Linked DNA regions of Arabidopsis thaliana. The protein of the gene in region 3 interacts with the protein of the main gene of each other region in a pairwise test. Each region holds a gene or a part of one and is shown on either strand. Other genes may lie near its edges. The genes, in order: RUXF, AT5G11090 and ATB BETA.

Region 1 (5,910 bases), on a different chromosome or scaffold from region 3:
AGTCGATGTGCGTTGGATGCAAGAGTCAAATGATTAATAATGGTAGAGAGAAATAAAAAGCCATATTCGCAACCTTCTAGCTCATTCGGAAGTGTTTTTTGGTGGTTGAGAATATTATTCTAAGAAAATTGAAAATGAGGAATGGACCGATGGGTTTGGTGGGTAGGCGAGAGAGCATATAGTTTAGATTTAACTTAGCACACGTGACTTACATTGAAGCGTGCCAAAATAAGTAGGTGGACAGAAAACTTTCCAACAACAACAACAACAACATGTTTCTTTCCTCTTTCAACTACTTTTGTGTTGTGTGTTTCTTCTCTCGACCTCATAAATTTGTATTCGTTAACTAGAAGTGAATACGATTGCATAAACGACAATATACCCCGTCTAGTTTAATAGGAACCGATCGTCGACTTTAAATTGACATGGTACTGCATGTTTTATCATTATTTTGTTGATTTTATTCATCAAATCTAGTGATGGTTTAATCTGGTATATTTTGTATTACTTGTTCCATCTTCCAGGGACAAACTTAGTAATTTTCTTTTAAAATTGATTCTTCAGTACCTTTAAATTGTAAAGCTACATAGTATGTTGTACTTTTTATTTGTCAACATGGAAAATAACTAAAGATGATCGGTGTCAAATGTAAATAAAAATCAAGTTGACATGGTAGTGTAAATGATGTCACATGATTGAATAATTGATTTCTCAGTATTTCACATGTTTTGTCAACGTCATAGCAGAACAAAATAAATAAGGAATATTGACTTAAGGTCACTATATTAACTTTTAACCGTATTTTTTTTATCAACAAACCGTAAGTCTACTGATTTTTTTTATTAAGGTTTGAACTCAAACTATTTTTCTTATCTTGGCCTTTTCAAATAACTAGACTCGAATTTTACCGTAGAACTATTTTTGTTAGTTTTTCAATTGATGAGTTAAGACTAAGAAGAAGTATATTCAAATTGTCATCTCCATTACCGCAAAGGTTGTCCCAATATTGCTACCACTTCATGGGCTGGATGTAAATTTAGTAGCGCTGATTGTAGTTTGCGGACTCATTAGTAAGATTTCTGAGAAGGGCCAATATAGGACTATTACAGCCCATTAGTAGTCCAACTTCTTAATCATAGACCCAATGCATAAAGCCCGATTAAGTACATGGTTAACTTATTCCCGATTAAGTACATGGTTGTCTTTATATCCTATTTTAAAACAATTTCAGCAAAAAACTTATTTTTCTGGAATACGCTAATCATTAATCAATATAGCATACATACTAATAAGTTAGACTAAATAATATTATTTATCATTTAAGCTAGGACGCATGATTGATCCGATTAATCTGAAAACTGATTGCTTGGAACGATATATTATGTTTGGTAATTGCTTGGTACATTATATTATGTTTGAAAATTATTTTTAAAAAGAGTGAAATCTCTCGAATTCTTTTATTTTGCGGGTACATACTTATGGCTTAAATTTGGTAAACAAAAGAATCTCAATGTTGCTACTTGCTACCACTTGATGGGCTATAAATTTAGGCCCAATAAAAATGGTTAAAAAAAGAATTGACTAAGAACCGGCAAGAAGAATGGTTTCTCATAAGAAAAAGGGCTTGTTAGTTTTTTAAGGTATGAATATGATCAACAAACTCTTAAGATTCAACAACATCACACTAAGATTAAAGTGCTCACAGAATACAAAAATTAAAACACACAGACTTGCAATTTCTAAGTACTCAATACAGGTTAGTCTTGATCAGCGTCTTCAAGCTCTTCATCTTCTGGCACACCACGGACATACAAAACATTGTTGCACCTATGTACACAAAAGTCAGCAAATTAATTCAATGGATCCGAAAATTTCGAAGCAATTACAAACCTGATAGTTAGTCAATGAATCCACTACTATCAGAGAGAAAATGATAAATGTGTGCTAATAATGGCCGCCAAGTCTAATTCTTAAGTTTTATCAAGTAATGACACTTCACTGTGAATCATATAGTTGGAAACATAAACTGAATCACAAGGAGAAAATAAGTAGAGACAATGAAGTAATATTATTACCTGATCAAGATCTCTCCAAGGTTCCCTGTCAATTGTCCATCAATATATTCTTCGGTGTTTCCCAGCTGACAAAAACAATATGGAAAATGTCAATGCATAACAATCTATGTATCTGTACAGATTATCAGCATTGCCTCTAAACTTGTATGCACAAGGAACATTTAGCAGGTGGTTTTGGACAAAATAACATCAATCTCTCTGTTTAATCAAAAAGCTATCTTATCTAACTTTGTAATTCAGGAAATAACGCACCTGCAAGTTCATGTAGGAGTCAACAGAGGCGAGAAAACCTGTGAAGTAGAAGGAAGACTGTTAGCTATATAAGCTCTGGATACTTATCATCAAAAGCATTTTGAAGAAAAATATACCTTTGTATTCCATTCCCCATTTAAGCTTGACGATAACAGTCTTGCCGGTCAAGTTGTTCAAGAATGGTTTCGGGTTAACCGGAATAGTCTGCAAAACACACATACATACAAACTTGGTTCATCAAATACTAATGGAATGAACTCAAAAGCATCACATTTGAAGATAAACACATTGTGCATTTTCCAACGAATTCTCGAATGCAATTTTTATGTAGTGGACTATTATACTCGTTAACGACATATATATAACAATTTCGAATCAGATTCAGATTCGCAGATACTCCAATCTTTTACTTGTAATCAGATAAATCGACGAGATTGGAGCTGAAAGAAGAGCTCAGGCCATCGAATTTCGCAATCCCTAAAACTACTTAACAGATAAAATTCTAATTTTGAGCTCAATAAAGAAAGGAATTAACTAATCTAAGCTCGAACTTAGAATCAGAAGACGAAAAAATCGAAACTTACCGCCATGAGTTTGAGAACGAAGAGACGAAACGAAGATCTGGGAGAACAAATATCGATACGCTTGTGGTTTCTCTCGATTTAGGGTTTTTGGCTGGGTTTATTCGTTGCTGTACAGAAGATAATGGGCCTGCGAAAATATCTCATAAGGCCCATTATTGGTTCAACTGGCTTGCTTTGTGAAATCTCCATAAAAGTGAAAACAAATAATACATGACAAAAACGACATGCATTCCAACCTAATGACATAAAACCGGCAAGAAGAATGGTTTCTCGAGAACAAAAGTCCATTATATTGCATTCATCTTTACACAATGATCAAATTTTGTCAGCTTGCCTTTAAAACAATTAGCCGGCTTTCTACTCTTTGACCATCCAATTATTAGTTTAGATTATATATAATTCCATTAGAATTCTATAATTATTACATCAAAACTAAAACGATTGGCATCACATATATGACCAAAGAATTAGGTGAACGTGAACCACTCATCTGTTGAGGTCATCCATCATCTAGTGCAAAGTATTTTTCATTTTTGAGGTCTTTTCATTTTTATTTTTTTTACAAGTCATTATATGTTTACTTTTTTTTTCACGTCATTATATGTTTACTATGATAAAGAAAACGCTTATAAAATCAGCATGCTAATAGAAAAGGTTATCTACATCATGATTTTTATTTTTTGAACAAAAAAACATTTGAAGTGAACTGCTATAGATGTGAATCATCTTACTTTTTTGCGTTTAAAGGCAAAATAGTAACATCGCACCATATGAAATTGTTATAAAAAGGGAAAACAAATCAAACTTTGTAGTCAAGCAATGTATATGAATAACCTACTTATGACTTGTGCCTTGCAGCGTAAGTTGATGTACGTTGAAAACGAAAAAACAAAGTGGATAGTTTGTAATTGTGGCTCTAATTCCTTTAGTTTTTTTTTCTCTAACAATTGAGTTTCTTTAATCACTACACTTCCACTTCCTCGATTTAATATACCTAAACTATAATTGGATAGTTGAAAATATCAAAAACTATAGTCTAGAATATAATTATAATCATCGTTTTAATGTTTGTAATAACCGAAAGGTCCGAAACGAAATGTTAGCAGCCAGGCGAAAGTCATTTTCTCAGCTGACCTCAGTTACGCGCAACAATTCATACCTCAGCACTTATTTTTTATACTTTTGTCACAATGTCTTAGTCTTCTTCTGAATTAGTCTCGACTATCTTTTTTCACAATCAATATGCTTCATACAGTTTGTTTGTGTGTAAACTTGCTCCTTCGAAAATATACCTAAAGAAAATTGTCTAAACATTTTTAGATTGTGTTTCGCTAATTCTTATATATATTTATATAGAAGTGGTGACATGTCGAATCTATATTTTATACAATACCATCAGTTAGCTTTTTGCACAGTCTTTTTATTTTACCGGTTGGGTGTACAAATCTATGCAAATTTGTGTGATCGTGGTACATTTATGTACATATGTATAAACATATAGTCTTTGACAAAGAATTTAAAAAATATAGGCATTTCAATCAAAGTTTTACATCATGAAGAAATGTAAATCTCAAATTTTCAAACATTATTAATTTGTGTTTGAATAATTCTATCTCTATCATTCTTGACCATGCTTTTGAATAACTAAATTTTCTAAGCTGAAAAATCGGAAAGATTCATGAATAAATGATCAATGCTATATATGAAGACTAGAGTTACTTGTCTTATCTTTCTTGTCGTTAAAACTATATATGAAAACTAGAGTTAGTTAATATTAATAGACACTTTGTGTGGTTAAATAATAAATAATAAGTAAGATTTGCTATCTTTCTTGTCATTAAAATTGTATTATTGTTATTACCAACATAATATGTCATATATCGACCTGAAATAATTAAATCATGAGAAATTTGGCAAACGGAAACTTCGGATGGTCAACAATCTACAAATATATGCATGTATATAAATACACCTAAAGAATTCTAACCCGTAAAACAAAATAGTTTCCACTTTAAGTTCTGTAAAAGTATTTGACCCCTCTAGAGACCATGTATATATATGGTGACAAAAATTAATACTTTCAATATCTTCATTGTCTTCTCTCTCTCTCTCCCTAAAAAACATGGAAACTACAAAAAACACTAATCTCCAAAACCCTACTAAACTCCCAAAACCATTTCAACATCACCTAGAAGAAGAAAAAGAAGACGCACTATCTCTCCGAGATCTTCCCCTCAAAGCCAAGAATCCTAATCCCACCACCACCGAAGACCACAAAGAACCGTCAACGGAACTTTTTGAGTTTCTAACCTCATCCTCCTACGACGTAGCTCCGGCAGAAAATATAATCTTTGGCGGGAAACTCATCCCTTTAAACTACCAAAATGCTTTCTTTTCACCTCCTGAGCACATTAGCCGTCGAATCCGTTCACGGTCTGAGTCCTTATCCGCGATACAAGGCCATAAGCTTAACCGTCCCGGTAGTTGTACCGTGGCACGTCGTGACAATGCGGGACCTATGAGGGCAAGCCGCTCTTTAGATTATCGTAAGCTTTCACGTGGTCTAACCACCGTACATTCTCCACCGGAAAATAGTTCATCGACTAAAAACACGGGGAAGCCTGAAACAACGTCTTCGGGAAGTGTAAAAAGTGTAAGGCCAAGATGGTATGTGATCATGTTTGGAATGGTTAAGTTTCCGCCGGAGATCGAACTCAAGGATATAAAGAGCCGTCAGATTCGCCGGAATATTCCACCGGTTATGTTTCCATCTCCTGCTAACAGGAGAGCTCGTGGATCTCGGTCGCCATCACCGTCACCTTCTTGGAGGTTTCTCAACGCTTTAAGTTGCAAGAAGCCCACAAGCGTGGCTGCTACGGCGCCGTTTTGGGTTCCTCATCCATAAATTACTATATTATTCCTACGAACATTGTGCGCGGTTACTTGCTCTGCCGTTGATTAAGAAGGATAGGATCGTCATTTAGTATAAGAAATATCGA
Region 2 (5,924 bases), on a different chromosome or scaffold from region 3:
TAGCTAAATCAATACTTGCATGAAGGTAAACGGTTAAAAGTTAAAGCTAAGATAACACTAAGAAATCACGATACTTCTTCAATTTTAAGATAGAAGAGTTAATATTGATATGATTGAATCCTTTACAACCAAAAAAAAAAAAAAAAAAAGAATACCATTTTTGGTAAATAAGGTTTTTAAGATCGTTAGTTTCTGGATTGTTTAGATAATACTAAGATTTTTATTTTTTTTTGTGCACCAGATAATACTAAGATATTCAAATGTCTCTTTTAGTGGATGGTTATTGATTAACCAAATATACAAACAGATGTCGAAATGAAGAAGAAAAAATGGCAAATCAGCATAATATCATAATTATTGAAATCTGTACATTATAATATTGGATGCTAGTACAACATCATTGCTACAACCACTTTAATAAAATGAAAATATCAGAGAGAGAAATAAAGCATCATATCCTTTGTAATATGATTCTCAAACTCGAGTCAAATTAAATATTCCTTACAATTTACTATTTACCAATTACTATACTCCATAGGCATCGAGCCCTCTCTATTCAGTTTTACATTCTCGAAGCACCTTTTTATATCGTGCATGAGATATCGGACATATAATGAAGAAGATTGTAACACGCTTTATACTCGCCAAAAAAGATATCAACTTAACAAATGCTGATAAAAATAGATACAGAAGATTACTCTTGATCTATTTTTTTGTGTGAAATTACTCTTATGATCTTATCGCCACTAGAGTAAAAGAGTTTCCTTGTAAAAAAAGATTTGGAACAAATATTTGTTTTCACCGAATAATTTTTTTATCGGATGTCCCCGAAGGGACTTTCACCAAATAAAGGTGAGTCCAGATGATTACTAGTGGACTTTTGGATTGTAATAAGAACGAATAATCACATGACCACGACCAGGCCATGACCATGACCATGTTAAATAAATCCAACTTCCACTCTAAATCCAGTGTCAGACATTGGATCACCAGTTAAACACTTTTGGCTCTTGGATTGTTATGATGCTAGTAGAAGCCTGGACACGTGTGACATAAATCTATACGTGTCGTAGTAATGTGGACGTGGTGGTGTGAGTGTTGTAGCCTATTGCTTTATCACATTGTGTGTCCCGACCATACAAAAATAACTGTTTTGTCCCTAACTTACCCAACACGACCTCCATGTGCCCCGCATCATTGTGATCTACTACTATTTTCAATTATATTTATTGCCTAGATTCGTCTAAATCAACTGTTTACAATCGTCGTACCCACCTAATCATATACTAATGTCTAATATTAGTTTTACTTTCTTTTAGTTTTTATCAGGTATAATACTATTTTAGTGGTATTAACGTTTGATAGGTGCTACTAAGAATTAATTACACACAAAATATGGATTCTGTCAAGACCAATTTAGACAAAATGTGAAACGAGTAGATCAGACCTTATTAATAATCTCAATCATAATTCTCTCTTAAATATTTAATCAAATTAGACAAAATATAGGTCGTTTCTGACCGTCAAACGTTTAATATCTGTAGAAACCGTGTTTAAAGGTTTAGTTGGTAAGAACTCTCTGAAATGTATCCATCAAATTCTTAAAATTGATATTCTGCACCAAAACTATTACTGGCAATAATCTGTCTAAGCATATTTTGTATTTTGCGGTTAAGGACGCATTGGAATAAGACATATATTATTACTATGGTTGAGTTCATCACCAAATTCCTTCTGCAGAGAAGCTGTTATACCTTTAAGATAGCATATAAATGTTCTAATACATCAGAATAGTGTTCGAGTCAGTAGTTCCATCAATTTGTAGGGACTCTTTAGGTCTAATATGAAACACAGTTGCATGGATCTCCTCCACCGTAACAACTTTATACCAAATGCTAGATTCGTTGTTGTTGTTACATTGCTTTTAAGCCCATTCAAGAGTTTGGCTAACTCACCAGTAGGTTTAAGGTGAAAAGTTGTTGAAATATGTTAAGTGTTACGTGTTGAGTAACTCTTGACTAATTATGATCATAATACGAAATTCTTAAAGTGTTACGAATTAACGATTGGCATTGCCTTCCAAAAAACTAGCTATATCAAGTCCTCTCTCTTTGGCCCTTTTTTATTTGGTAGTGAGCTGTTATTTCTTCTTCTAGCATTAAACCATCTTGAAAGGAAACAAACCAGCAAACGTAGGTACTTTTAATGATGGTGTCAGTTAGATCATAGATGTAACTTTATATGTTACCTTCATGTTATAAGATTTCTATATTGATGTTGTTGGGTATTAGCAACTAGTATTGATGAACCCAAAAAAAAAAAAAACTAATTTTGATATTTATTATAAAAAAATAATAATTAGTAATTAATATTTGATGTTAAGAGACTATATACGTAGACCAAAGGCATGTTTCAGACAAAAAAAAAACAAGAACAATAGAGTGCTAAATTTGATCAATGTAAGCTTTTAATATCTACTACAAAATCTAAAATTACTAAAAGTCATAAATCTTCAAATTGCTATTAAATTTATTTTATAAACCAAATTTAATTATTTAAAATATGTTTATAAAACTATTCAAAGTCTACCAAATAAATATGACACAAATCTTCAAATTGCTATTAAAATTATTTTATAAACCCAATATAAAGTCATATTTATTTGGTAGACTTTTGAATGGTTTGACATATGTGATTTTAGCTCACTAATTTATTAGTATTGAACTCTCTTACATTTATTAAAACTATTTTATGTTGGCAAAAATGTTTTACTCTAGAATACACTATACATAAGACTGATTTATTCGAAGCCTTCTTTAGATAGCCTAAATTTACACAAATGTTGTTAGATGCTAAACTTTTGTATAATCTTATTAATCTGAATCAATACCGTTACAGAACCATTGGGTTGTGACGATAAAACAAACAAAATAAAACCATTGGAAATGTAAATCCGGCTCTTGGCAAAACAACGGGCAATGGCAATTTACGTAATTATCTAAACTTTCTCTGGGTACTCTCCTACTTAAGAGCTGACATCTTTCTTAGTCATGACACGTGGCAGCTTTTTTAACTGCCCCCAAAAGCATTCCCTCTGATTTGTCATCTCAGCCGTTGGATCCGAACCCGATTCTTTTCGAAACGGCAAAACCGCCTCAAATTGAAAAACAAATTAGTAATTTATTTTGCTAACCATAGTTAAGTTTCATTAACCATGGTTAAATTTGACTAACCCGACATAGAAATACCTAAATTTCGAAAATGGTCAAAGTCTTTGAACGTATTTACATTTATTGCCATTGAACAAGCTTTTGCTATAAATTCGGTTCCTGAGACTCGCTAGGTTTGCCGAACCAACCTCCCTTAGGCACTTTCTACAGAGCAGCTAATCAAAAAAAAAAAAAAAAAACCTTGTTCTTCTCTTCTTCTTCCTCTCTCACAAATTTGACTTTCATAGAAGAAAAAAATGGTGACTACATCGTCACGAACCAAGTCAAACGGACCGGTGCTTCGTTCACAATCACCGTCAGGTCGATTTTGCGGTGGTTACTCAAGAGCCGTTCCGTCATCTTCTTCATCAGCTTTCGCTTCATCAACGAGTTCTAGCTTTTCATCTCCGTCGTCAGCTTTTTTCAGCAATCACCGTCATCACGAGAGCAATCACAGTCACCACCGATCTGCGTCACCGACTCGTGTGAATCTCTACACAGCGCAACCGATGTCTCAGTCGTTTCGTTACTCTCTCGATAGCAGATCTATATCTCCGACTAACAAATCGATCTCCGTTTCGAAGAATCAGCCACCGAGCCATAATCACAAGATCTCAAGGAGATGTATGTGTTCTCCGACGACGCATCCAGGATCTTTCAGATGCAGTCTACATAAGAACGTAGCGAATCCACATGGTCAAGGTACAGCTTCGTATACAACGAATGGATTGAATATGCGTCGATCTGCGATGACTAATTCGCTGGTGAGAATTGGTGGTGTTGAAGGAGAGTGGGTGAGAAGAGCTTTGACTACTTTGATTCGACCTTCTTCGCATCATCTGAAAAGACGAGCTGCTTATCAGCCACGTCCTAGTCGACTCTCAATCATGGCGAAAGCTGATGAGAATTGATTTTGATCTGGATTTTGGTTAATTCAGGTTTGTTTTGTTTGTTGTTCTTCTCTCTTTAAACGAAAACCACCACAGGATTTAGTAGATCCGGCGAAGAAGTCTTGTTATGAAGCTGAGGTCTGCGAAGAAGAATCATCCTCGAGAAATCGAGATTTTGTAAAAGGAAGAAACACACACCTATCATAATTTTTTTGTTGTTGGGTGAAAGAAGATGCTAGAATGCATTGTACATACGTTCTCTTTTTTACTGTTTTTGTTGCTCTCTCTTGCGTCTTTGTCGAACCCCAAAAAAAAAAAAATGTTCGGAGTCTCACCAAAAATTAGAGACCTAAAATCGAAAATCAAAGAACTGAATCTAATTTCTGTATTGAACAAAGTGAGATTTCTCATTCCTCACAATCAATTGTGTATGTGTTTGTCAGATTAGCGTTTTTTTTTTCGTGTCCCGTCAAGTCAACGTTCGTGTACTCCGTTGACCGGCGTTGTTTGCCATTATCCGTCGTCGTTTCTACCGTGAAGCGTTGCGTTAGTTTTCCAGGTATGCGTTATTCGTCGTGTCAGGTATGTTCCATTCGTTTTTTTTTTTTTTCCGTTTTATGTTACTTACATTTTTTTGTAGTTATATTTTCGTGGACATTTTGAATTTTGTTTTTGTTTTGCAGGTTGCGTTTGGTGATGGAGTTTGAACTACTTGACTAACAGGGACATGAAAATTCAGATGGAATTGAGAGAAAAACAAAATAAATTAGTAGAAAAATACATTAAAAACAAAAACAAAAGAGGTGGAAAAGGTCTTCACTTTCTGGACATATATAAAAAAACAACGAAAAATCTATGGAGGGAAAAACATGACTGAAGACAAAATTTACATAGGAGGGAAATGGAAAAAAAGTGTTTTGGTAAAAGAGATAGCTGACTGACCCAATTAGAAAAATGACTGAACATATGGAATATATTAGGGAGCAGATGGAAAAGAATACATATGAATATATTATTAATGGAATTGGGAATCTTTTGGATTCATGAAGGAGTAAAACTTGGAATGTTTGAAAGAAGAAAAGAGGAAGGCTATGAATGTGGAAAGACACGTCTTACTGATCTGGAAGATTTTGTTATATTCGATCATATTCCTCTGCGTCCATGATATACTTTTTAAAAATAATTTATAATTAATTCAAGAAATCTTCTTTGAATTTATTAAACAAAGTTTGATGTTTTAAGTTTAAAAAAATGAAACTCATCGAAAAGCTAAAACTGCGTAAACTTGACGATGAATGATGATGCCCCACATTGTAATATGTTGTACGTGGATTAGTTTAGGTTTATTTGTAGAATTTAAAAGGGTTTTCTATTGTCAGAACTTAGAAGAAGTCGGCTAGTGATGAATAGAATGTGTTGGCGACCACAAAGGTTGGACCGGACTTGTGATCTTTTCTGATTGACGTATCCCCTCGGGTTTGATCGGTTTAACTTCATTCCGCTTTGGTATGTTCCTACAACCAACTGATACTAACCGAGTGAAACACTATTGACTATAGTTTTGCAAACTGTTGTTTCTTCTTCTGTTTAGCGGCTCTCGAAAAGGGAAGAAGTGGAAAATGGCTCTTGTGACCAATAGTTTCCAATGTCATACTCATACAGTCATACATGTTTCGTTATGAGTCGTCTCCACCTCAAGTACTTGAAATTATTGTAAATTTAAGAATGGTAGTTGAAAAACTTAATGATTTTCCACCTATTCAATATCAGCATGACATCATTGGTCGACTAATATTTTTGTAAAAATTCTAGCAATAAATTGTAC
Region 3 (9,601 bases):
CAAACAGGTTAATCCAATGCGGAATGGGTTTACATGCTTAACTTATACCATCCTTTACATTCTCTTTATAATTGGATGGATCACTAGAGTAATATTATGCTATTATTCATTATCGAAGAACAAGAGACTTAATTAAAGAAGTGATACGAAAAATGAGCCCATTAAGCTTCCGTGGTAGCTAGACGCTCCTCCGAAGGAGATCCCTTAATTACGTATACAAAAAAAAGAAATCACTTAACGTGCATGAACCATTCATCTTTAGACATCTTACATAATTGCATGAAGAATATCTCGAATACAAAACAAAAATCTTCAATTTCTTGTTTTCATCAATCACTTGACCAAATTTAAAGGAACTTGAATAGGTTCATGAACAATCCCAACAGATATCTTGCAGTTTTCAGAGCTCAACATCTTGTCATTCTCCTCTCCTTCCTCTGATGACATAATTTCGTTGATTATTTCCATTAGTATCCTCTCCATATCTTCTCCATCGGTCCAATCTCTAACGGTAGCCTTAACCAACATGGGATTTTGACTAATCAAATCCCAAACCGGGAAATTCTTCCTTGGCATCATGTAATCTTCAGCTTTGAGTCCAAGACTGGGACAGTAATCACCAGCACCATCTCCAAGATAGATCATCTTGCTCGTCTTCCCTTCTTTCGTTAGAGAAGCTTGAATCCTATCGATTATTAAACCCTGTATAAACAAAATTTAGTATTAATTTAGCACACAGATAGGTCCATATTGACTCATAACAGAATCAAAGATAATATATTTTACACCAAAAAGTTTCCCAAAATCCCTGAAAATAGTAATGACAAATCTTATCTTTTGAACTAATCAATCAATATGAGATTAGTGTAACTGCAGTACCTTGCACATGTTAGGAGGGCAACGAGAGCAACCATGAGAAGATTTGGTGAAGTCATGGTAAGGAGAGACTATTAATCTTCCTTGTTCATCTACAAGTCCTGGATTTGTGTTAATCTCGGAGAAAAACTCACCAATCCCGAGATGTTCAATGATTGTTTCGATGAACAACGTGTTTGCGTCGCTCACTATTCTCAGCTCGCACCTAAATATTATGTCGTATGATTCAGTACCGTGTTATCAAACGAAGAATGAGGAATTTAACATGGATTTTTACCCTAAAGCATGAGCAGATTTGATGGCTGGGATGACACGTGGATGAATTGGGATTCTCCTAAGGACTTGTTTGATTTCTTCAATGGTTTTACCATGATCATGAAGCTCCTTCATCATCCGATTCTGTTTTGAAATAAAACCAAATAAGGATTTAGTGTTATGACTGATGAACATATATAGACCAACGTAACAAAGCCCTAGAGAAACCGAAACAGAGAAGAGTTAGAGATGGATGAACAAAACAAACCATGAGAGAGTTCCAAGGCATTGTTGGGAGAAGCTGGTTGAACAAATCAGTGAAACCAAGTTCATCCACGACCCAATTATCGCTGTCTACATCGATGATTGTCTTGTCAAAATCGAAGACGATCACGATGTTGTTATTCTTAGCCATTCTATCAGATACAATGTTTTATAGGTACTGTTTTATCGATTTCTGTATGATTATGGAATTTGGAGAAGAAGAATGTGATATATATACGAGTGAGAGAAGGTGAAAAGGCTAGAGACGAATAGGGATCTTTCGAGGAAGATGCCATTGGAATATTACTTACCGTCAAACGCAAGGTAAGATAGATAATTAAGAATCCTAATCTGATATGATTCGTATCTTTTGAACCGTTAGATCTGATGACGTTTATGTGTCAAACATTGACTAGGTATACTGATCCAACGGTGTTGATGACTCTTTGGTTTATTTTGTGGGTATTATTTAGTTTGGCTTGTTAAAAGTTTTATTTAGTGGGATTTAGGCAGTTGAGATTTGAGAAGACACCGGAATGGAATAAGATAAAAAAAAAGAATATTCCACCTATTTATGCGTTTTCGTCATTATTTTCATTTTTATTAAAGGAAAATAAAATCCGTTACCCAAAAAGGTTTATTTTTCTTTTAATACGCAACCCAAAAAAAGTAAAAAATGCAAAATGAATATATTGGTGTTTATCGTATGAATAAGTTTTGATTTATCATGGGATGAAAAATAAATAAATGTGCATGGGATAGTTGCTTTATGTCACACATTTGATCGATAAAGTTAATTGTAAAAACCACAACATTCATACTCGATTGGATTTAAACTTAAAAACATGAAATTTATCGAAATATATGGGAATTGCATCAGAAGGCACTAGGAAGGAATAAGGTTGCAACTTGGAAGGAATATTGAGTGACAAATCACAATTGTAAGCAGAAAGAATATTCTAGGGGTTAAGGATCACATCATCTTTTCATTTGGTAGCCACATCTTTCAATATTCATCTGTATTTGATTTCTTCAATAACAATTAAAAGTATTCTAACCAAACAAGTCTTAGCATGACAACAAAACAAATGTGTGTGTGTGTGTGTAATCCTCTATCTATAAAATAATATACTTCTATCAGACATTATCAGAAGAGACGCATCAAAACAAGCTTCTTTTATTTCTCTTCCTCGTGTCTTTAGATTGTGATATAGAACAAGGAACATAATATTTTATATCTAGTTGTAAATCTTGTGGCACCACGAAAAAACTACATTTCACTGCATCCACTACCTCAATTGGCAAACATTTCATTTTTCTTAGCAGAAATCAAATTAAGTTACGTAATATTAATGTTGCCCTCGACACTCTTCTTGAGGTAAGGATACATATATTCAATTCATCGCATCCTTTAAAGTATTACAATCAGTAGTCAAAGATAATTTTATTTGCTTACAATAGAATCTACGAGGAATGGAGGAGAAAGCTACTTTTTATTGTGGGTAAAAGTAAAAAACACAAAAGAGGTGTCTGAAAATACAATTGAAAAATAGACAAATAGCAAAAAAACAGAATGGATGTGGTGTTCAAGAAGAAGAAGAAGATATGACAAAAGAATCAATAAACAAATTTTGAAGCACATCCCTCCCAATCGTCTCATACTAAAAAATCCCACACACCATAATTTGTTTCTTAATTGAAAAAAAAAAGGTAATAGAATCGATACTAAAAAAATAAAATAAAATTTATCCTTAGTGCAGCAACCCAAAAAAAAGACAACCTAAGTAGGAGGGGTGGTTCGGATATTTAAGACATTACCCTTCTTCAGGTAAACAAAAGGCCTCTTCTTGTTTTCTTTCCCAACCCAACACTTTTTACCTTACTAACTCCTGAAAGATTACTGTTGCTGCTTCTTCCGTTGACTCGTCGCGGTGACTGGTCAGGCTTTGGTCTTGGTCACAGCATTACTCTGTTACTACTACACCTTTTCTGGTTACATCATGACTTTGGTTGTTAAAAGAAAGAGAGAAAGAGAGTGAGAGAGAGACCCGGGAAAAGAAGAAAGGGAAAGTTAAATTGGAGCAAGCTGATTCCATGTTTATGTCTTCTCTCTCTCTTCCCAACTCATGCATAGTACATGTACAAGCTGTTTGCTGCTGCACAAGCAATTGAGTTCTCTGTTGGGTGCCAAGCCATATGCAGCAACTTTGTTGTGAAATCGTAGGCGTTCCCATTTGCCTCTGTTCCGGGACTCTCTGATCCTGCGTCCAAAACAAAAGTTTTTTACTCCAGAAGAGAGTAGTAAAAGCTTGAATAAGTTTTACAGGTACTATGACCACTAACCTCGTCTAACCACGCGTGTCATACTGCCTATAGATCTGGATGGTCTTGCAGGTGTCTGGATTTGCCTCCTAATATATACCATTGATGCGAAAGTTTTGCAACAATTGATCAATACAAACTTCAATGACTTAATAAGGTTAACTATCAATGTTCTCTGTTTTCTGATTTACCTCATCGGGTTTTTGCTAGCTTCCAAAGTCGCAGCTTCAGTACTTCCTTGAGACGCTCCAAATACGCGGAATAGATTGCTGGTTCACCGGAGATTAAGTATAATAAATTGGTCATTAGTTTATTCCTTATACAAGACAGAAAAGTACAGCAATGACCAGAAGACAAGCAAGTCAACCTGTAAGAACCTGTTGCTACCCTCAATCCATCGCCACTCAGACAACACTCAAATTTATCAAAGATGGAGTCATTTTCATATAGATCGCATAGCTGCAACCGGGTAAAACATAACGTGGTTAGCTTTCAACACAGAATCAACAAATAAAAGATGCCACAGAAAGAAGCTCTCACCCTGGGTCTCAGATGTTCATGAACCTGGTAAGATGCGACCGGACCAGAATCCATGTTTATGTCCCACAGCTGAAACGTCAAAAAGGGTAAAAGATATCAGAAAGAACTAAAGAATAGACCTCTATTGGCCCACAATCAGAAAAATATACACAAAGGGAACCGAATGATTTCCAACCTTGAGCGTCATGTAATCGCGACTAAGTATGTATCTCCCATCCTTTGAGAATTTAATATCTGAAATTGAGGCAATTATCTCTGTGAAAAATGATCTTGAACCAGGTGCTTCCGGTTCTTCAAATCTGTGATATGAAGCAACAATGGTCAGTGGTCAGAAACTTTAGCCTATTAATCTTCATTTCCAAGTCATTTCTGACAAGAAAAGAGAAAAATTGGAAATGAACCCACGTATTCATATCCCCTTCTTAAGTATATATTGAAACATGCAACTACCATTTCCGATAAAGGATGATGAGAACAGAACTTACAATTTCGTATGAGAATCACACAGAGCTGATTGACGCATATCAATCAAACGAATGGAGCCTTTTGAACTACTATATGCGAGCATATTACAATGGATAGGATGAAACTCAGCTGATGTAATAACCTCTGCACAGACCATGTAGCATTTAGAAGCATGCTCGACAAGCAGTAAACGTGAAAAAAATAGATAATAAAAGTAAGGAGGTTGTTGACATATGAATCAATGGTAAGACCATACAAAGTAACATCTAACAAAATAGGAGAAGTAGCATACCAGTTAAGTCCTCCATGTTTGTGGGCTTAACATCAACAATATTGAAACTCTGGTTGCTAATTTCCAAATTCCAGAGATTTACTCGCAGATCATCAGCCGAAATAAAGGTTTCTCCGTCACTGTAACAATTAAGGGAACGATTCATTACCACAAGGAACAAAACAATGCAATACAAGTTGTGAAATTTAGGATCAACAAGATTTTCGACAAAGAGAATAATAGCACGACCAGACATGGAAAGACATGCAAAATAAAATTCTAAGGATTTTTTAGATATTAGCATTGTTTCCTGAGATGGAAAAATTAAGGAGAAAGACAGCAAAAACGTGTTAAAGAGATATCAAGAGTAAAACATATAACCTGAGGGAAAACTTAGGAAAACGATTACCTGCTATTGGAGATTGAATTAATATGGTAATCATGAGCATGGGCATACACTCTTCGGCATCTAGCCACAAGGTTAGTCTCCTGGCTGGTAACCTATATATGCAGAAACACCCATAAGTTCAAGTAGAACACAAATTGACTAGTGCATTAGACTAATTTGGTACTGAGCTTTAGTTACGACAAAAGGAAACAAGGCCAATAGTAAATTCCCTACATTTCATAACTCAAGTAGCTGGATCATCAACATGAAGAAAATATCCACAACTTCCAGTAAAAAACAGGCTTAATATCTATACGCATTTACTTTTCAGAATCCTGAAATTAAAACTCACTTCATTTGACACCCAAACAAAAAGTAAAAAAAAGTTGCGTCGAGTACAACTACCACAGGCAAACGCAGAGATGGAATGCCTCCTGGCGGGAAAGAAAAGTCCTTGCTCAGGTAGTCATGCCCTTTATCAGCAGGTAATCCATTAGTAACTAATTGAGGAGGGATATTTGAACTTTCTGACGGATCAATATTCATTTCACTAATTTTCTTGATCTTCTTCTCTTGTACCTGTTTGATTCCAAATAAGAGGAGGAGTCAAATTATAAGAGTAAAGAAACAAACTATTTCTCTTATTTTGAATTGAGTCTTGGAAGCAAAAGAAACCAGTTTCTAGACAGTTTTCACACGTGACACCTAATATTTCTACACTATAAAGCATATGAAACAAGATTATGGAACCGAGTTACACAGAAAGGAATTGCTATAAGTGGCCTATATTTTGCAGACATGTGATATAAAAATCCATCCAGATGTCACACCTTCCAATATTTGATGGTTTTATCGTTTGTAGAAAGCAGAAACAATGCACCATTAGCTGGCTGACACCATCTGATTTTGTTGATTTTCTCCTCTATCTCCAAACTCTTGAGATAGTCAAACTGAAACAGATTGAAAAGCAAGCTTATTGAGTAGCTCAAGGAACACAATTACTCGTAAGTGAAATCTGGTGATAAGTTTTAATGTACCTCTGGTTCATGACTCTGAAATTCTGTTTTATATCGAAACTCAGGATGCCTAACTGGGTAATCCGTCTGCTCAAGATCCTTCCTGGACCCTCCATGCTGAAAGTAACATTTTGCAAGAGTGCGTTACAGCACATAACATTTTTTCGAAACAAATCTTGCAGAAGAAAAAGGAACTCACATCTTTAGTATCTGTCCTTTCAAAAAGAACTACTCGGCCCCCACGGTCACCAGTTGCGAGATGGTCTCCACTTTTATCAAATTCGATGGCTGAAATGATGTCAACTGCGGAAGAAATGTGTGCAAACAGAATCATTACATCAGAAGTCACCACTAAATTGTAGGAGCTAAACACATAATAACCTTGAGGTGCAGCTAGTATATTATTCTCCATAACATAGAGTATGTAAACCGGTAAAGAAGATTACATCCAATAACATGAGAGCAGATTAAATTTATCTAATACGGAAAGTGCCTCTGAAGGCAACCTAGTTACATCAATACTCCGGGAAGTCTTATCAGCCAGAAGAGAGCAGCTATAGACCAACTCAATATTACAAATTCAATTCATGAACCCAAAATGCATGACCAATGATAACCCTTCACACTTGTCCCTCGACAACCCAATCCCTCATCGCTTCATATGCCTTTCTTGCTGTTAAACAGAGTCGAGACACCATTGTACCAGTGGAAAAAAGTATACATGGCTTATGGCATTGAACAGACAAAACCTTGAAGCTAGATTACCCTCTTAATCTCAACTTAAAACTATCATCAGCGTATCAAATGATTCAAATTTACAGCAGTACAGCTGAAACTTGTACAAAAATGAGAGTTACAACCTCGCAACAATCAGCTAAATAGAGATGCTCTAATATCACATAATACACAACAATCCAAACTTGTCATAGAACTTAGAAACTCTACTAACAGTGCAATAAAAGCCACAGAGATTCATCAATGACCCACTAAGTAGTAGAGGAATAACTCACTAATCAGATCCAAACAACAAATCAAACCCTTAGTCCTCAAATACACTCCGGATCTAAAAGAAAAAAGAAGAGCTAAACTCCGAATATATCTCACAATTTATAACACACGTAGGCAATAATTACCTTCCTGAACTTCTTCTCCGGCGGTTCGCTCACCGAAGACCTGAGAGAATCTCCACTCTAAAGACGGAGGAGGACCACTAGTAGCGGCATCGTCACCACCGTTCATTTTTTTTTTTTGGCTTTTGGGTTAGATAATCCAACAAAAATTAGAAATCCGAGCTTGAGATCTGAGCTTCCAAATCTTTTAATCACCGAATCGAATCGAAGATCGCGTCATCACCATAACCAAATCCTTTGATTCACATTCCATTCCATAGTTTTATTCATGGATTTTTTCGCGATTGAAGCAACTTGATCGATGATTAATATTTCGTCCCTCTCTCTCTCTCTCTCTCTCTCTCTCTCTCTGTAGAAAATGGAATTTTTGATATATCTCTCTGTAGAAAATGGAGGAACGAGAGAAGAAAAACGCCTTGGCCTTTTTCTCTCTCTAAAAGGACAAAAGTGGAATTATAACTTTTTTCTTTTTTTTTTCCTTCGAGACCAAAACGAAGGAACAAATCCGTATAAGTTAATATGTCTAATACTATAATGTTTTTGTCCTGATTCCAAAGTATCCTTAGCGTTACAGTCGGTGACATTATTTATTTGACCACTACATATCGGTGGACAGTGACATATGTTTTCGCCTATCATTGGTCAGTTGTGGAGGTGCTGCGCTTTCCACTGTTGTGTTGTGTGATGGGGGAAAATGTATAATTATCATTAGTAAGTACTAAATAATTATTTTTGCCAAATTATCCTAAATAGAATTCCATTGCACATTTGTTTTTTCTAATCTGATATTATCATATCTTACTTGAGAAAAATTACAAGTTTCTTTCAGGGGTCAAAATTAACTCATGAGAATACCCAAGCGGTAGAAAAAAAGAAAAACGATTGAAACCAGTACAAATCAAATGAATTTAAAAAGTATTACTATAGTTTATACCAAATGTATTTGGATGGTGAATAATCAAAACTGAAACGAATAAGTCAAAGGAGTGTTTTTTTTTTATAACTACTAACCACTCAGACTCAGTGACGGATTAAAAGATTAAAACTTAAACCGGATATAACCGAATAATAGAACCAGTCAGTGCAATTCGATTTAGGACATAATGTTAGGAAGCCTCCTCGTTTAAAAGTTAAAACCTCTCTTTCTGCGGAAGAAACACGCTTGAGATATCTTTCCCCAAATTCGAAAGAACCCTAATTTTTTCCGATTCCGATTGATCAAACAAGCGAATCCCGATTAACTGATCGAGGAGATGGGTAATACAGATAAGCTGATGAACCAGATCTTTGAATTGAAATTTACGTCAAAGTCTCTGCAGAGGCAAGCTAGGAAGTGCGAAAAAGAGGAGAGATCGGAGAAGCTCAAGGTAAAGAAAGCCATTGAGAAAGGTAACATGGATGGTGCTCGGATCTATGCCGAGAACGCCATTCGCAAACGCAGCGAGCAGATGAACTACCTTCGTCTCTCTTCTCGATTGGACGCTGTTGTTGCTCGACTCGATACCCAGGCTAAGATGGCTACCATCACCAAATCGATGACCAACATTGTCAAATCCCTCGAATCGTCTCTTACCACTGGTATTTCACATTCTCACTTTTCAGCAATCTAATCAATTTGGTTTTGTTGGTGCTCATAGCATTATAGTATAGATTGAAAAATTCTGCTCCTTGTTGTTGTTTTTGCTGATTGAAGGATATGGAATCATGCATTAGGGTTTGGTTTGATGAAATATTAGAATAGCTCTCTCTCACCGTCATGGATGTTCTGTGATCTGTGATGAATTTTTGTTGCATTTCTCTCCTTTTGGTAAGTGTAGTATAGAGGGAGAAGAAGATAGGGCTTATAATACTCTTATACGTTGTGCTGTAGCAACTCGTGTTATCATTTTCTGGTTTGTTCTTTGCAACAGGCAACTTACAGAAGATGTCTGAGACGATGGATTCGTTTGAGAAACAGTTTGTGAACATGGAAGTCCAAGCTGAGTTCATGGATAATGCAATGGCTGGCTCTACTTCATTGTCGACTCCAGAAGGAGAAGTCAACAGCTTGATGCAGCAAGTAGCAGATGATTAC

What was found.
Region 1: the proteins of ATB BETA (region 3) and RUXF interact in a two-hybrid assay, tested with the Arabidopsis thaliana proteins (one large-scale study listed by BioGRID).
Region 2: the proteins of ATB BETA (region 3) and AT5G11090 interact in a two-hybrid assay, tested with the Arabidopsis thaliana proteins (one large-scale study listed by BioGRID).

The regions. Positions count from the first base shown.
Region 1 is NC_003075.7:14,801,343-14,807,252, forward strand, and holds RUXF (small nuclear ribonucleoprotein F), read right to left. Parts: upstream 3,017-5,910; 5' UTR 2,918-3,016; coding exon 2,912-2,917; intron 2,556-2,911; coding exon 2,444-2,555; intron 2,366-2,443; coding exon 2,328-2,365; intron 2,141-2,327; coding exon 2,076-2,140; intron 1,828-2,075; coding exon 1,758-1,827; 3' UTR 1,618-1,757; downstream 1-1,617. Other genes in the region: AT4G30230 (uncharacterized protein), read left to right, coding at 5,034-5,816. UniProt on the Arabidopsis thaliana protein: Probable common Sm protein, is found in U1 and U2 snRNPs and may be part of the spliceosome.
Region 2 is NC_003076.8:3,521,330-3,527,253, forward strand, and holds AT5G11090 (serine-rich protein-like protein), read left to right. Parts: upstream 1-3,347; 5' UTR 3,348-3,466; coding exon 3,467-4,120; 3' UTR 4,121-4,517; downstream 4,518-5,924.
Region 3 is NC_003070.9:6,090,430-6,100,030, forward strand, and holds ATB BETA (Protein phosphatase 2A, regulatory subunit PR55), read right to left. Parts: upstream 8,011-9,601; 5' UTR 7,637-8,010; coding exon 7,531-7,636; intron 6,701-7,530; coding exon 6,597-6,700; intron 6,515-6,596; coding exon 6,419-6,514; intron 6,332-6,418; coding exon 6,212-6,331; intron 5,961-6,211; coding exon 5,784-5,960; intron 5,495-5,783; coding exon 5,403-5,494; intron 5,134-5,402; coding exon 5,015-5,133; intron 4,867-5,014; coding exon 4,743-4,866; intron 4,557-4,742; coding exon 4,433-4,556; intron 4,327-4,432; coding exon 4,258-4,326; intron 4,177-4,257; coding exon 4,085-4,176; intron 3,987-4,084; coding exon 3,909-3,986; intron 3,807-3,908; coding exon 3,739-3,806; intron 3,657-3,738; coding exon 3,520-3,656; 3' UTR 2,779-3,519; downstream 1-2,778. Other genes in the region: PEPC1 (Pyridoxal phosphate phosphatase-related protein), read right to left, coding at 334-702, 880-1,081, 1,154-1,275, 1,400-1,546; VPS46.1 (vacuolar protein sorting 46.1), read left to right, coding at 8,781-9,105, 9,438-9,601. UniProt on the Arabidopsis thaliana protein: The B regulatory subunit may modulate substrate selectivity and catalytic activity, and may also direct the localization of the catalytic enzyme to a particular subcellular compartment.